Linked DNA regions of Rhinolophus ferrumequinum. The protein of the gene in region 2 interacts with the protein of the main gene of each other region in a biochemical or structural test. Links are inferred from orthologs where the notes say so. Each region holds a gene or a part of one and is shown on either strand. Other genes may lie near its edges.

What was found.
Region 1: the proteins of TRIM7 (region 2) and RNF187 interact in a test that uses a peptide from one of them, tested with the Homo sapiens proteins (2 studies listed by BioGRID, with this or other methods). The link is inferred for Rhinolophus ferrumequinum from reciprocal best matches to the Homo sapiens genes TRIM7 and RNF187.

The regions. Positions count from the first base shown.
Region 1 is NC_046307.1:1,321,261-1,329,446, forward strand, and holds the start of RNF187 (E3 ubiquitin-protein ligase RNF187), read right to left. Parts: upstream 4,364-8,186; coding exon 4,319-4,363; intron 3,862-4,318; coding exon 3,678-3,861; intron 1-3,677.
Region 2 is NC_046307.1:4,162,506-4,170,691, reverse strand, and holds the start of TRIM7 (E3 ubiquitin-protein ligase TRIM7), read left to right. Parts: upstream 1-3,934; 5' UTR 3,935-4,143; coding exon 4,144-4,650; intron 4,651-5,503; coding exon 5,504-5,599; intron 5,600-8,186. UniProt on the Homo sapiens protein: E3 ubiquitin-protein ligase that have both tumor-promoting and tumor-suppressing activities and functions in several biological processes including innate immunity, regulation of ferroptosis as well as cell proliferation and migration.

The DNA.
Region 1 (8,186 bases), about 2.8 Mb from region 2:
TTTTGAACCATCTAGAAAACTAAAGAACCCACTTTTAGGTCAGAGGCCAAATTGGAGTAGGTGGAGGTCTGGATCATTGCTCAGTATTACATTTCATAAATACCTGCGAGACAGTAAGACATCTGCTGGGCTCTGGAGGTCTTGGTGCTTGAATTCCCATTGCGCTGACACCCAAGAACTAAATAAGGGAACATTTCACCTTGAAAAGGGAGAAATCCCAATTTTTCTAGGTTGTGAACCGTCTTCCTTTTTCTCAAGATTGTATTTTAAGTGGTTTAATATAAAATGTTTTGGGATTAAATTGGCAGCAATGAAAAAATCTGAGTATTTTCTATAAGAGTGTGACAAATTAGTTTTTTTTAAAAAAAAGGCAACAAAAATATAGACCACTAGAACAAAAGTCAAGGATTCTGAAGAGTAGCAGGCCACACTACCCCAAAATGTGCCTCTTTGGCAGGAGGATTATTTTGAGTGGGGGACAAATGACAATCAACAGATGTGGAAAGACGCCCTCCCACTGCTTCCCCCACCTGACTAAATGCAGAAACTCTGAGAAATGAGAACTGCTGTAAAGCCCTTCTTCCAGGAAAGTTTTATGGCCATGAAGAAGAGGAAAGATGGTGCCAAGGTGGACCTGCACTAATAGCCCTATCTTCCATTAGCTTCCCCCCAAATATTTACCTTCCCATGGCTTGCCACCCTTGGAAACCTAAAATTTGTTTCCTTTCTGTTACTTCTCTACAAATGTATTCTACGTTAAGATGCTAGATAAACCCAAGTTCTAAACACCCCTTTGAGTAACATTGCTGAGGTTTCTCCCAGGTGATGATGTATGCTGCACACATTAATACACTGTGTTTCTCTTGTTAATCTGTTTGCCAGTCTAATTTATGGGGCCCCAGTCAGTGAGCCTGAAATGGGTAGAGGAAAACGTTTTTTTTCCTTCCTAACAGTTTTTATTACAGGAAATTGCAATCCCACAATTACCTTGTGTATTTCATGTGTGTTTTATTGCATTTTGGTTTACCCTATTTTAAGTTCTGTTCTCACAAACCAGGGTGTACAGAAAGGAATGGGAAAGAGACTGTCGGCTATGTGTATAGGGAAATTATTAACGATATGTTTAGATGTGTTTAGATGAAGGTCTGATTCCTTGGACATTTCATATCCGGCGCCTGGAAAAGGAAAGTAATTAATTTTCATTTCTCTTAGGCAGAAATAGGACGAAAAAGTACAACTTACTGAAACCAAGGGTCCTCGCAATTTTGATTTGATTTGTGACTAGCTTTAGAAATCATATCCCTCTTTCTCTCTACACCTCTCAGAGACCTAGCCTTTTTCTTTGTTACCATAGGCAGAAAGAATAGGACCTGGCGAGGAAGGCAAGGAGGAGGTGAGGGAGACAAAAGAGGGAGATGAGATTCTCCCTAAGAAAAAGTGCAGCTACCAGACTGGCCAGAACTAGATTAGATTTCAAGAGCAGATCCAGGAGGCCATCTTGCCCCTCAAGATGAACTTTAGCTAATTATATGGATTATAATATGATTAGCATTGTGGTTAGTGAAAATCTCCACCCCCCTGTGTCACCAGGACATGTCCGACCGAGCCAAATAAGGACAAAAATTCCTCCTCCATGGGAAGGAGTGGTCAGCAAGGACCCACCTAGGAATGTCTATAAGGCCACCCCTAACTCTGGAATATTTCGCACCTTCATTTTTAGTGAGATAAATTCCCAAGTCTCATTGTTCTTTGGAGCAGCTGCTCTTCTCCAGACCTGCCTGCTCTCTTCACCTTGAAAGTGTACTATCCTTTTAATAAAGCTGCTTGTTTGGCTTATTAGGTGCCTTCTTGAATTCTTTCCTGTGGCATACACCAAGAACCATTTTTTCTTTTTATGGCAACACCTTGATAATCATAAACCCCAAGGCAGCGGAAGACAGTAGCCAGGACCTGACCAAAGGTCACAAAGTCTGGACTTCTGGCAAGATAAGATAACATCTTCACCTAAGTTATGTTTCAGCTCCTGAGCCCTAAGGCGGAACAACACCCTGGCTGCTTTCCTATGAGACCAGAAAGAGGGACTCCGGGAAAGACTTCAGGACTGTCCTCAAGACCTGGATTATTTATAAGAAATGATGCATTACCCTTACCTCTCAGTACAACCCAACCTCCAATCCATGGTATATTGTGATTTTTTTATCTTGTGTGATTTTGCACCACACAATCTGTAACCTACACGCCATCAGGGAGTCAGGTCTTTAGAGCATAAACTCCCCGGCTCTGGATTGGCCAGTTCAATATCAAACCATTTTCCTTTCTACACTGAAAACTACTTCTCATGCATTTTTTTTCGATCAGTATTTTGAGGGATTTTTAAAGGCTGAAATTAGGGTTAGAGGTCAAGGGTAAATTAGTTAGTTCTTATGGAAGCTTCAGTGGTTTTCCTCCGGCTGATTAATTTAGTGCCTGCAATCTCTGGTGACTTCCTCACTGTGGTCAGGTTATCTGGCTGGGTTGAAGCCAAGTTCTGCAAAACATCTCATCAGTGCAGTCAGTGAGGTTATCTTTAAAACAAAAAGCAGAAACTAAGCATCTCATGACCATCGTTATTGTTTAAGCTATCATTTTGTGCCTTACTAGCTACATCTTTCTATTGTCTCAAGCAACATGTACTTTCACACACTTCTCCTGAACCTTTACAGGCAGGCCTTCAGGACATGACTAACATACTTTATAATCTTTGACTATAAGTGGCTAACATACTTTCTTAATCTTTGACTATAAGCTATGTGACAACCAAAGCAATTGAAGTTAAAAGCCTATACCCTATATCTCTAGACTCTATGATCTAGTACCTAAACGTATTTACTGTTAATTGCCGGTTCCATAAATAACCTAATTCTTACAAATGTCTGAGGTTTTTCAGCACAAAATGTGGGCACCGGCAGGAGATCAAAGTTGGGAGCAATCTCAGGGTCCAACAGCCAGAAGTGAAGAGAGGAAATGTGTGGCCTCCACTGAGGAACTACAGAACAGGAAGTAATGCACTCTATACCCACAGAAGTGTGGGTGGAGCTGAAGAACTGGGCAGAATGAAGAAAGCAGCATGTCTAGCATGGGACTTATGTAAATTAAGTGTGCAGTATGAACACTGAAGAATACACATTTTGTCAGAATTCACCCCAAAACAATGTAGTAAACAAAATAGAATGGTTGCCAAGTGGAAGGTCAGAGTCAGAAAAAATGGGCATCACAGGAAAACACATTTGGGGATACAGATACATATATACATGTATGGATGTAAACAAGAGGGGCCTCACACAGACCTGTGATGGTAGTGAGCCTTGAGCCACTAAGAGTGAGTAGTAATTCAACCATTGTATGAATAGCATAATATAAATACAGGGGGAGGAGGGTGTCAAAAAATGTATACAAGTGGACATTTTGGTCAACAGTTGCTCAAGTGGTAGTTTGCAGTAATCAGATGTGTCTAAACGCTGATTGATGGTAAACACTCTGAGCACCTCTTGTAATTGCAGAAGTCAAACGTGACTTGTATTCATCTTTTGTTATCAGTATATATTGAGTATTACAGTTTTAATAATTTTTTTCCTTTCTTAAAATGTGTATACATATTTTTGGTACCACCTGTATACTTCAATGCTGTGCTGTAGTACCAGATCGCCTGGTGGGGAAGGTATACAGGGGGTGACCGCAGTCCTCCAGGCGGGTCTGGCGCTGGGGTCCGGCTAGGCGGGCGCACAAGGCGTAGGGAGGACAGCACAGGCGGTGGGACTTCAGGGCGGCAGCAGTGCAAGCGTCCCCGGCTGTACGGGCGCGGGGACCGGGATTGCAGGGGTGCTGGATAAAGGAGTATGGGAGCGCAGGAGTACCGGAGAGCAGGAGTACCTTGGTACAGGGACGCTCGGGGTGGGGACAGGGGCTTCCCCTTCCCAGTAGGCCCGCTCAAGCGCAGTCTCAGGCCGTCGGCGTCAGACCAGCCACAAACTGCAGCCTCTGGTATTTATCTGAATGGCCCGTCTGAATTGGTTCAAATTCAATCCAGCCCGCCCCCCACGACAAATCGATTGGCTGAAGCTCCTTCCGGAGCTTTCCAAAGCTTCCTTTATTCTACTGTCTTTGCTTGGCCGCTCGGTTAGGTGTCTGAGTCTGGAACTTGTTGGGATTTATGCTCATTTGTGCCATAATGTTTTCACGCATCTTTGGGTGTACTCCTGACTTCCTGATAGGCGTGTAATGCAGGAGTGCGGCTGCTGTGGAGTCCCAAGGGGGATTTTAGAAAAAGCCGCGGACGGACCTGGGGTGTCTGGGGTATGTCGGCGTCAGGCCGGCTGCCCGCCATACCCCTCCGACATCCCTCCCCCCGCCCCACAGCTCTCCCTTCTCAGGTCCAGACCACCTCTCATGTAAATATATAAATAGGAATATAAACATAGAATATAGAAAATTCTTGTCATAAAATCTCCTTAGTCTTGTGTTTTCAGATCTATGTGTTTTCTGTATCTCCTCCACTGCTACTGGGTTGAACACCCCTTAAGATACTTTAATTTCTGGGCTTAGATAGGAAATGAAAATAAGAGAAATATATACAGCGCACACTTGGGGAGGGGAGATCACACCGATCGTAGAGCGGGAGCGGCTCCGCTCTGGCGGCGGCGGGGTCCCGGACCCCTGGGCACCTGCAGTCTGCCCCTTAGGACCATGCAGTTCTGGAGCCCCGGGAGCGGCTGTGCTCTCCCGCGTGGCCGCGCGTCCGTGTGGCGCTGAGGCTGGAACGCAATTCACATGTTCCGCAGCCTGCGCCTCCATCACAGGGCACGCTGCTGCCTCTCAGAGCCGGCTGCGCGGCCCTGTCCCATCTCCGCTGCTGTGGTCGCCTGTACTTGACTCACACCTGCCGCTGGGATTTGATTGCAGACCTTGTCTTTTCTATTTTCTGAAACAAAATGGAAATGGACACAGGAGCGGCTTTGGCCGACGTGGGCGTTTAGGAAGGACCACCCCAGGAAGCGATGCCGCCACCTTGGGCGGGATTGATACAGGCCAGCACCTGCTTTATCTCGGGTCCTGCACCCGGGTGTCCGTGCAGAGAGGGGGCAGGGCCTTGGAGAGAAGTGTCCCCAGTCCCCACCACGCGGGCATTCCCTGCGTGACGGGAGGACTGCTTTTGTGCGCGGGATCGCTGGGAGCTGTCCAGAGGACAGAAGCTGCCTGGCAGTCTTTTCCTTCTTCGAAATCCGGCTGACATTAGGTAAGGCTTTCCTCCTCTGCAGAGCTCCCCAGCACGCCCTGTGATTTCACCCCCGCCTTCCAAGAGCTCTCAGCCGCAACTATTACCGGAGAGTGGGCCCTTCTTGGCGCGAAGTCTAGGTTCTTGGCTTCTCCAGCAAAGAATTGAACCAGACACGGAAATAAAGTGGTGAAAGAGTAGTTTATTAGAAAAGACAGTACACTCCAAAGAAATAGAAGCGACCAGAGCAGCAGAGAATGGCTCAATGGCCCCGGCTAACCAGACCTTGGTGGTTTTGATCTCTTTTTCTCTCAAATGGGATGTTCCTTTCCGGGCATAGGTCCACTTGATTGACGTCTGGGATTGACAAGAGGCTATTACCTCATCTTTTTAGACTGCTGTGGGAACAGAGCCCCAGAGAGCAGTTTCCAGGCTCTCAGCCTCACGTGGAAAGGTGCTGGCTCGGGTACTAGATGGCAGTTGGCTGTGGCTAGTTGGCCGTCAGCTGTGGCCGGTTAGCCAATTGGCCACTGATATAAGTGTCGCAGCTGTGGTGGAGAGTTGAGTCGTCGGTCGGTTGGCAGAAAAGCAGACAGCAGGTCGCAGGTCGTGTGAATCCAGCCGCCAGCGAGAATATAGTGGTATGACTCCCCTACCTATGGCTCTGTGGGTGTTCCTTTTTGGCCTCACCATATCCTATGTTCTTATGTGGGGAGCGGGACCAGAGACCCCGCATGACAAATGGCACAGCAGGGTATGGTGCTGGGCAAAACTCACCGGAGGATGGTGGAGCAGTTTATGCGTACAAAAGTTCAGCTTCGGGAGGCCGGCGAGGAGTGACACCGGGAGCGATCTGCCTGGGAGACTCGAGCGTCCAGATGGCGCACTTCCCTCTTGGCCATGGAAGGTGTTGTCCTCTTTTTGTTGATCTGCTTCTGCTGTAGGCTCCGAGGGTTGTGGACATTATACACCGAGGCCACCACCCACTCAGACCTCTGGCACGGTGAGCAGGATTCCAACCAGGTAGGAATGGAGTCTGACTCTGGGCAGGAGGACGTGTGGCCCCCACACAGTGTGTGGTGCCCAGTGGCCACTGTTCTCAGGAGTTGGACCCCCAAGGAGGGGTGGGAAGACATGGATGGCTCTCCAGCCAGGGTGGAGAGGGCCCTGCAGGCTCTGGCTGAGCAGTTGCCGGAGGAGGAGAAGGCTACAGCCGGCCGCGTGGGCTGGATGTTCCTCACCGCCTTGAGTCTCAACACGGAAAATGCGCCTAATGAAATAGCCCAGGTGCCGGACCAGGTCTCCCAGTTGGAGGCGCTGGAAGCTCGGGTCCCCCTGTTAGAAGAGGGGCCCCACAGTGGAGACTGTGAGGCAGAGGCGGAGGAGGCGAGTGGAGACAATACAGCTCCTAACCCCCAAGCCCAGCCAATCTTGAAACAAAAGGTAAAGCATGAGCAACCTTTGGGCCCCGCCGGCAACCCAGCTGTGACTGAGTTCACAACCTACACCCCTTACACTCCCACTGAGTTGCAGGAGCTGGGGAGGCGGTACAGACAGCGCCCTGGAGAGCCAGTCTCCGCTACTACGTTTATGGGATGAGGGAGCAGACAACATTCTCTGCTCCCCAGGAGAGATGGAAAAGCTAGCCTTTGTGACAGTGCATCTGTCCCTGCGACAAAGGTTACAGAACTGCCATAGGTTGGCCCAAGACCAGGGCAACCACTCTAATGGAGTGACTCATTGCTGCTGTACGCACAGTATGGGGACAGGCTGGCGAGCTGCCAGACACTGTGAGTCAATGGCAGTCATATATGGAACTTACGCAAATCATCCATGAAATGGGTATGAGACATGCTATTTTCAACCCTATTATGCAGGGACCTGATGACGAGCTCTTTACAGCCAGCATGAAAGATCTGGTTTTGGATACTGTACCTGCGAGTGCCTTTGGATCCTTAGTTGCCATTCTTACGCTCTATGTGGGGTGACGGATCCATGAAGTTACAACTGCCATGGTCACCCTAGAGTATGTTGAAAGCCAGAGGCGAAGGAAGTTAAGACAGGACGTCCGCGCAGTTGAGACCTGGAAGCCCAAATCAAAAGTAAAGGGGTGAGGTCGCGGGCCTCAGAGAGCAACACGCGCACAGATGTGGCATGATCTTGTGGCAGCAGGGGTCGATCAGGAGAAAATAGACCGACAACACAATAAACTCCTGCTGGAACTTTGGAAACAGTTGCATCGCGAACAGCAATTCCAGAGAAGCCTAAAGGAGAAGTCTGGGAAAGCGCGACCCGTGTCCCTCCAGGACTTCATGCGGCCACTTGAGGCCGACTCCTTTCAGCTTGATTAGGGCTGGGGCCAAGGTACCCGGTCAGAGGGGACAGCAGGGACCAGAGGCCCCACGTGGAACTGTCCATACATTGGTCCCCTTCTAATGTGCAGAGGGTTTTGGCACTTGTTGACACTGGCGCAGACTGAAGTCTTGCTTATGGGAACCCAGAACTCTTCCCCGGACCAGCAATCTGCATTGATGGGTACGGGGGAAAGACTGTGACTGTGAAAGCTGTTTCCTTACCACTGGGTATAGGAAGGCTTCCCCCTCGTACCTACAAGGTGTATGTCTCCCCCGTTCCGGAGTATATTCTAGGGGTGGACATGCTACATGGCCTCAGCTTACAGATGTCGGTAGGAGAGTTCTGTCTCCAGATCCGGGTGGTGAAATCCGTGACACATGGACATGCTCACCACCCTCCTCAAGTGTTGCCACAGCCGTGGCGCGTGGTTACAGTGTGACAGTACCACCTGTCAGGAGGACAGGAGGAGATTGGTCTATAATATTGGAATTGGAGAAGGCACATATTGTGAGGCCAACGCACAGTCCCTTTAACTCCCCAGTATGGCCTGTCAAGAAGCCAGATGGGACCTGGCGAATGA
Region 2 (8,186 bases):
TTGTTAGTAAAATTACATAGATTTCAGGTGTACAATTCTGTGTTACATCATCTGTAAATCCCATTGTGTGTTCACCACCCGGAGTCAGTTCTGCTTGTGGTGTGTTTGTGTGTTTCCATATGAGGAAATCATCATTGATCTGAAGCTTCAAGTTGTTACCCTAAGTGAAATTAGCGGGTCACAAAAGGACAAGTATTGTATGATTCGTCTTATATGAGATACCTAGAGTAGTCAAATTCACAGAGACGGAAAGTAGAATGCCAGGGGCTGGGGGAAGGAGAGAATGGAGAGTTACTGTTTACTGAGTAGTTTCACTTGGGGAAGATGAAAACGTTATGGAGATGGGTTGTGGTGATGGTTGCACAACAATGTGAATGTGTTTAAAGCTGGAGAACTTAAAAAATGGTTAAAATGGTAAATTTTGTTACTCATATTTTGTATAATTTTTAAAACTCATTTTGTTAGCAGATACAGGCAAGGTTAGTGAATAAACAAGGTACTATGTATAGCCACAAAAAGGCAAAACGAATGCCATACACAGGAAATTTCCACTGGGATTTCTTTGTCTTTTGGAGATCGGGTCAGGCAATGGAATTGTTTCATATGACCTTAGGTTAAGGGCAAAATGTGACTCTCGCCCAACGTGGGGCTCGAACCCACGACCCTGAGATTAAGAGTCTCATGCTCTACCGACTGAGCTAGCCGGGCGGGCCAGCTGGGGCTTTTAACAACTGTTATTAATAGTTGTTACATCATGGTGGGATTTGGGTAGATTCCAGCTCCACGTTTCAAATTCGGCTTAGTTAAGAGTATGATCCGGCCATTAAAAGGCTCTTGGCAGCCCCGAAACTCACATTCTGACGATCCTGCCTGACTGACCTTCCCACTTCCCGTCCGTTTTCTGCTTGCTGTCCTCTGCCAGTCAGCGACCTAGCTCTTTTTCATCCCCGGGAAGCTCACGGCTCGGAATGAAAACGTGCGCATCCTGATGCCACCCTTTGATTTATTTAAAATCCGGAGTTGTAAGGCAGAGTCAAGGGATGGGAGTAGGTGAGAGCCGCAGCGGATACCTGCAATGGGTTGCAAACGCCATGATACGGAGTTTTTCCTCCCGGCCTGTGCAAATAACGTTGCGAAACGTGGAAAGAGAGCAAACAAAAAGAGCGCTTCCCTGCGCTGGAGATGACGGGGATCGAACCCGGGGCCTCATACATGCAAAGCATGCGCTCTACCACTGAGCTACATCCCCACTGGTATAAGGTTGGCTCCCTGCATTCTGTTAGCAGTTTACTGGGGCAGGGTGCAGGGAGGTGGACACTATCGGTCAGGTGCAACAACCCCGAGGATGCAAAACCCCTCGGCAGCCAAACAAGGAGTTCCAGGGTCCTCTACTGAGTGACTGCAGGTGAGAGGACCTTGACCGAGAGACTCCCGGGAGAGGACAAAGCAGGGATGAAAACCTGGAGGCAGCGGTGGAAAAAGGGGAGGTCTTTTGACGAGGTGCTCAAAATGAACTATAAACCGAAAAAAAGACTGTGAAGGACACTACTTTTGTAAAACAAAAAGAACGGGGAGTGTAGTAAATATGAATAATATTTGTATTATAATTCAGAATCATTATGTTACAAATAATCATTTACAATTATTTGTAAAATAATTCAGGATTATTTGAGATGAGGAGGGGACTGGTGTGCAGGCTATCGGCAGACTTTTCAATGTGAACCGCCCTGTATATCTGAATTTTGAGCTACCTCCAAATAAATTCAATCCAAGAAAAGTTTACAGAGCGCCTATTAGGTACCTAGAACTGCTCTAGAAAACGGAGTCTAACGGTGAACAAAATGAACATAGCCCATCCTCTCTAACAGCTCGTGTTCCAGAGGAGTTAGAGTGCTGGAGCATTGAGAGAGAGAATGTAGTAAGGTGTGATTTAAACAGTGTGGTCCTGGCAGGCTTCACTGAGAAAGGTGATATTTAAAACAAGACTTGAAGGAGGTGGGAAGTGAACCATACATGTATCTGGGAGAAGAGAGGTCCAACTAAAGGGAACAACCAGTTCAAAGGTAGGATCTTTCTGACATGTTGCAGAACAGCAAGGAGTTCCACGTAGCAGGAGGGGAGTCAACAGTTGGGAGTGGTAGGAGATGAGAGTTGAGAGGCCGGGTGCAGGGATGGGGAAGAATGTGTAGAGCTTTTGGACAATAGTAAAGACTCTGACTTTTACTCTGAGAGAGGTGAGAGCCACTGGAGGGTTTGAGCAGAGGAGGGCCATGATTTGACTTAAACATAATTGTTGTCACAACTGAGTGGAGAAGATAGGGGAGTGGGGCAAAAGGGGAGAGACTGTTGCCTACTGGAGATGGTGCAGTGGAGGAGGTGAGAGGGTGTGGACATGCTGAGGACTGGTGGTAGGTTGTGTGCAATTTTTTCCTCTTGGCGTTACAGAGGAGTCCCCAGTTTTGACCTGAGCACCTGGAGGGATGGAGTTGCTGTTAAATAGGATGGGATGAGGAAGGCTGTAGGAGGAGCATGTGGTGGGGCAGATCAGAAGTACAGCTGTGGACACAGTGACGCCCCTTAGCACACGCAGGTGGAGATGCAACCTGGAGTTGGATGTGGGATCCAGGCATCTTAGGGGGACGTGGGCTGGGGTTGTGTATTGTGGTGGCAGCAGGGAGAGGGTCATTCAGGCCCAGAAAGTGTAAGAGATTACAAGGGAGTGAATACAGACAGAGGTTCAAGGACTGAGCCAGGTCAGGGAGAGGAGATGGAGGTAGCAGGTCATGGCGCTAGCTGGGAGAGCCTGGGAGGCGCTAAGAAGGTGTGAGGAAGGAGGAAGCACTGTTTGGCTTGGGATTTCTTGAAAGTTTTTTTCTTTGCTTCCCTCCCTTCCTGCCAAACCTCCAGGAGTCTGTTTGCTATACATTTACTATGTATACCAGTTTCAGTGGTTCTGTTTACTCCAGACCGTATGCATAACCTGGCTCAAAGACTTGAAAGAAGTTTTTACATCATCCGAAGACCCCTCCTATCCCTGAAACAAACCAGCCTCTGGGAAGTGCCTTTTTCAAGAATTGCCTGATCAATTCGCCTTTCCTTTGTTTGGCCTGTCCTTACATGCCTATAAAACCTTTGGCGGTATTAAGAGAGGGCAGGCAGTCTTTGTGATAAGAGTCCACTGTCTTCCCTTAACTGGCATTTTGGAATAAACTTGTTTTTTCCAACCTCGCCTTTCGAGTTTTGGCTTTCGTGGGGCGAGCAACCGGACCTTTAACACGGTAGCAAGAAGGGGCCTTTGCCTTTGGGTTAGGATCGCGGAGGTCACTGGTGACTTTGATAAGAGCGATTTCTGAGGAGGGTACGGGCGAAAGCTTGACCCCAGTGGCCTCCAGAGGGCATGAGAGAGGGTGTGGAAGCAAATGATACTGGAGGGACAATAGAGGGTTGGGTTTTTTCGGGGGGATAACACCTAGTAAAGTGGGAAATTTTATTGTAAATGTATTACTTGTTAAACAAAAATTAAAGAATAAACAAGGGGGGAGGGGACAGCAAAAAAGGTAGGCACAGAGGTGGATATAAGGCCACACTTTGGGGAGGCAAGAGCCAGGTTCCAGATTCCAAATTTAGCTCAGCACAGGGCGGGGACAAACCCGCACTCCGGTAACCTGACACTGTGGTCCGGGTGCCAGGCCCTAGCCTGGGCCGTGCGGGGTCAGCGTAGGGCGCCATTCAGGAGTGGCGCCCAGCTGGGCGTGTGCACCCACCTGTCCCGGCTTGTTTCCTACAGCTGACTGAGTCAGGCTGGGGCGGTCTGGAGGGGCTGAGCGAGGAGGGAGGCGGAGAGAGGGCCTTATGGGGCCGAGGAGGCTGCGGGCCAAGGCCGGGGACTGAGGGGTCCTGAGTGGGGGGACGCAAGCTCGCACTAAGACCACCTCGCTGCGCCTCCTGGCCCGCAGGCGCGCCCTCGGGGTGGGTTTTCCAGCTGGGCGCGCCCCTAGCGGCGGTGTCGCCCGCCAGCGCCAGCCGCGCCCATCCCCCCAGTGGGCGGCGGGAGGCCCGCCCTGGCCGCGGCGCTCTCAGCCGCGTACTATCTGGTCCCAGTTCTCCCAAGCACCGCCCGATTTGCGTGCGCTGAGGGCGCGCATGGCGGCAGTGGGGCCGCGGAGCGGCCCGGGCGCCGGGGCCGAGGCGCTGGCATTGGCGGCGGAGCTGCAAGGCGAGGCGACGTGCTCTATCTGCCTGGAACTCTTCCGTGACCCCGTGTCCGTCGAGTGCGGCCACAGCTTTTGCCGCGCATGCATCGCGCGCTGCTGGGAGCGCCCGGGCGCGGGGTCTACCGCCGGCCCCCGCGTGCTGCTCTGCCCGCTCCCGTGTCCGCAGTGCCGTGAGCCTGCGCGGCCCGGCCAGCTGCGGCCCAACCGCCAGCTGGCCGCAGTCGCCGCTTTACTGCGGCGCTTCAGCCTGCCGGCGGCCGCGCGAAACGAACGCGATTCCCCAGAGGCGGTGGCGGCCGGGTGCGCGCAGCACGGCGAACCGCTCAAGCTCTACTGCCAGGACGACGGACGTGCCATTTGTGTGGTGTGCGACCGCGCCCGCGAGCACCGTGCGCACGCTGTGTTGCCGCTCGAGGAGGCAGTGCAGGAGGCTAAGGTGAGCGTCTGGCCCCACTCCTGCCAGCCCCCGCGAGCCCCGGTCCCGGTCCTGGTCCTGCCGTCCGCCCACTCAGTGCGGACGACAGGCAGGAGGCCCAGGTATTAAGAGAGGGCAGGCAGTGCCTCCTTTCTCCTATCCCATGCTGCCCAACACTGGCTCTGGGACCGAGCGTGGCTCTCCCTCTGTCACCCCCACACCAATAGTACCCCCCAACCCCCCTCACATTTTCCTCTGTGCCTCATACTGGAACGCCTGCGCAATGACCGCCAGATTTGGCGATTGTCTTTCAGTCCATTCCCGGCCTCTAGCGGCATTTTGGGCACACCCACACAACCGCTGTCCCCACTCTAGGCTCTTTACTTAAGTGAGACGACTTTTCCCAAGAGATCCGGCAAGGATGGGTGGCGCCAGGGTTGAGTAGAGCGCGGAGAGAGCCGTCTGGGCTGTGTCAAAGCTGCTAATTCCGGGCTCGTTTCTTTCCTGTCTCCTTGTTGGGGCCTCAGCTGAGATGTGCACGGAGGCCTCGGGCACACAGTTCCCAGTCTTTGTTTTCTTTGCTCCTTACACTGATCCAACCCTTCCACACAGAGGGATTTCTAGTGGAGAGGAGAGCAGGAAGGACAAGGCGTTGGGCTGCTGGGGCCGGGGAGGGTCTTGTGTTTCAGCCAGAATGTGCGCAGATGGTCTTGGAGAAGTGAGACTCAGGGGCGTTTGGCGTCACCCAGAAGTTGCCCTGTCCCCTATGTGCAGTCTGCTCAGACAGTATCCATCCCATCCAGACCTCCTCTATGAGGGCCTTCCTTTCTCCTGGATCCTCGCCTCACAATTCTCCCTTCTCACCCTCCTCTAGGAACTCCTGGAGTCCAGGCTGAAGATCTTGAAGAAGGATCTGGAGGACTATGAGATGTTTCGTTCCACGGAAGAGAAGGAGAGCAAGGAGCTCCTGGTGAGCCCGGTACCCCCAGGTGCCTCCCCAGAGCCACCCCACAACAACAGAGGGCCGGCTTCCCACCACCCTGGCTGTTTTTGATGTGTGTTGGAGTGTGTGCCTGTGAAACAGTAGAGATGGACTTTAGAACGATAACAGGGTTCATATTATATAGGGTGACCGTACACTTTATTCTATAGCCAAAGCTTTGGAGAGTGAAAAGGAGTGCTAAAATAATCGTTCTAGAATAGCTGGCTTAACTGGAACCGTCCCAGTGAATCAGGATGTATAGTTACCTTAATGTTACATAACACCCCAATGAAGGCCTGTGGTAGCATCTTGTATTTGAACGCATTAATGTTTCTGTAGAGACGTGAATGTTCATACTAAGTGGAGACATAAATACAGTAAAATAGCCTCATGTTTGTCCAGGGCATGTTTTGCCACCAAAAGAGTTATGAAAAAACCTTTTTTCAATTTTAAAGGTTTTAAAGTTTTGAAATTGAGGCTAAGTGGCAGGCGGCTCAGTGGCTGTCAGCTGCTTCTGGTCTAGCTAAAGGTCCAGTTAAACGAAGATTTGCGGACAGGTTTCCAGCAGCCTTGTGTGCATAGCGCCCCCTGGTGGGTAGGGACGATATTTTTGTCGTCTTTACAATGGAACAGGAAAGTGAACTGGGGCTCATTTTGGTTAGGGCGGGCAAACCTGGGTCACGGTCTGTAATTTTCTACCTCTCAAATAAAGTTCTTAGCTCAGTAAATTGGTCTTAAAAGAATGAAAGGATTTACTAGAGCCTGTTAGGACAGGGCCCATTCAATTCTGGATTTGGGAATTGGAGGAAGAGGAACTTGAGGACCCTCCTAGCCTCACGGTGGGTAGGGGGTGGTGTGGAGGGGAAGACCCTGGATTCAGATGCCCCAGGGTCCTTTCCTGACCCTCAGTTGCATCTGGTGCACCTGCCTCCAGTGTGCATCCAGCTTTCCCATCTGATCATTCACTTCCCTCCACAAGGAAGGGCCCAGCCCTCCTCTACTGGAGACAAGAGTGTGTGACTCTTCCATCTGGGACCCAGAGGAACTTCCACAGTGAGGGCAGCTTCCGGTCTCTGACCCCACCCACCATGACACTGCCTAGCACTTTCCTCTCTTTCCTCTGCCAATCCACCACCCCTCTGGCCCTCACATTCTTTAGAATTACAAAATACCTGCTTAATGAAACAACAGAGGTAGAGGACTCTTGCTGCATAACAAGGAAAGTAAATGCTTTTATTTGAAAATGCTCTTAGCATTTAGAGGAGTGGTTCTCAACGGGGCAGTTTGCCCCCCAGGGGACATTTAGCAAAGTCTGGAGATATTTTTCATTGTCTGGGGGCAGTGTGCTACTGGTATTTAGTGGAAGAGGCCAGGGTGCTGATTAAGCATCCTACAGCACAGCCCTCCATAACAAAGAATTGTGTGGTCTCAAATGTCAATAGCACCAGGGTTACCCCGATTTAGAGTATTTTGGCTAATATTGTTCCACTTGCTATTTCTTTGGGAGGCCATATGGTATAGTTGCAAGAAGTTCAGACTCTGGTGTCAGACTCTGGGGTTAGAATACTGGCTTTCCACTTACTGGTCACATGCCTCTATCCCCTCATTTGTTAAGTGGGATGAGAGTACACCCACGCCATTGGGTTGTTGTCAGAGGTGAGTGAGTTAACACCTGTAAAAGCCCTATGCTGCTGCTGCCTGCTTGCCCAGTGTCCAGGTGATGAAGGTCCTGGGGGAGCCATGGCCTGAACCCAGGTCTCCTGATTTCAAAACCCATCCACAGTCTCCTCTTCCTTGGAGTTTTTCAGGGAAGAGGAACTGATAGTAGAGCTTGTGCTGGAGGAACAGAATCCTTCTCACTTCTCACTGGCCATGAGGGAGAGGTCTTGCTTGTTATGTCATGTACAGCCCCCCCACATGTTCATGTAAAGAGTCAGGAGCATGAGTCTGTGTCTGAAAACACACGAGTGTAAATCCTGTGGATAATGGTAATGGAAAGAATAGAATATGAAGCCTGCACACAGCATATTCTCACTTGGGTCATTGTGGGTGTGCTGTTACCTCTGGTCACTGGCATTGATCTTCCTTTCTCTTCCTACTTTTCTGCATCTTCCAGATTTTATATTACCAGCATGTGTTACCTTCGTAATTGCTAAACATAAATGGTGCTTTTTAAAATGAAGTAAAGTGAGGTGTGAAAGTTGGAGGGCTGACGAATGTTATGAAACAAAATTGACCTGAGTACATTTAAAGATCTCACTGGCTTTATTCAGTGATTGATGAATTGCGCAGCATCTAATCTAGCAGATAGAAAGGAGCTCTGTCCTTTATAGGCAGAGACTTTATAAGCAGTGGGAGGTAACGAGGAAATTGTACAAGGCAAAAAAACAGGTTGGTTGTTGCAAGGTTACTTTCCATATAGGGGATGGCAGAGGCTTATCAGGCAGATTACTGAACAAAGGCGATCCCCGATTAGCTGGTTTAAGACTCCATTTCTGGGAGAACAAAACTGGAATGAAGTCTGGTGATGTGGGGCTTATCATAAATGAGTATTTTGTCTATTTTCTTGTGTTTA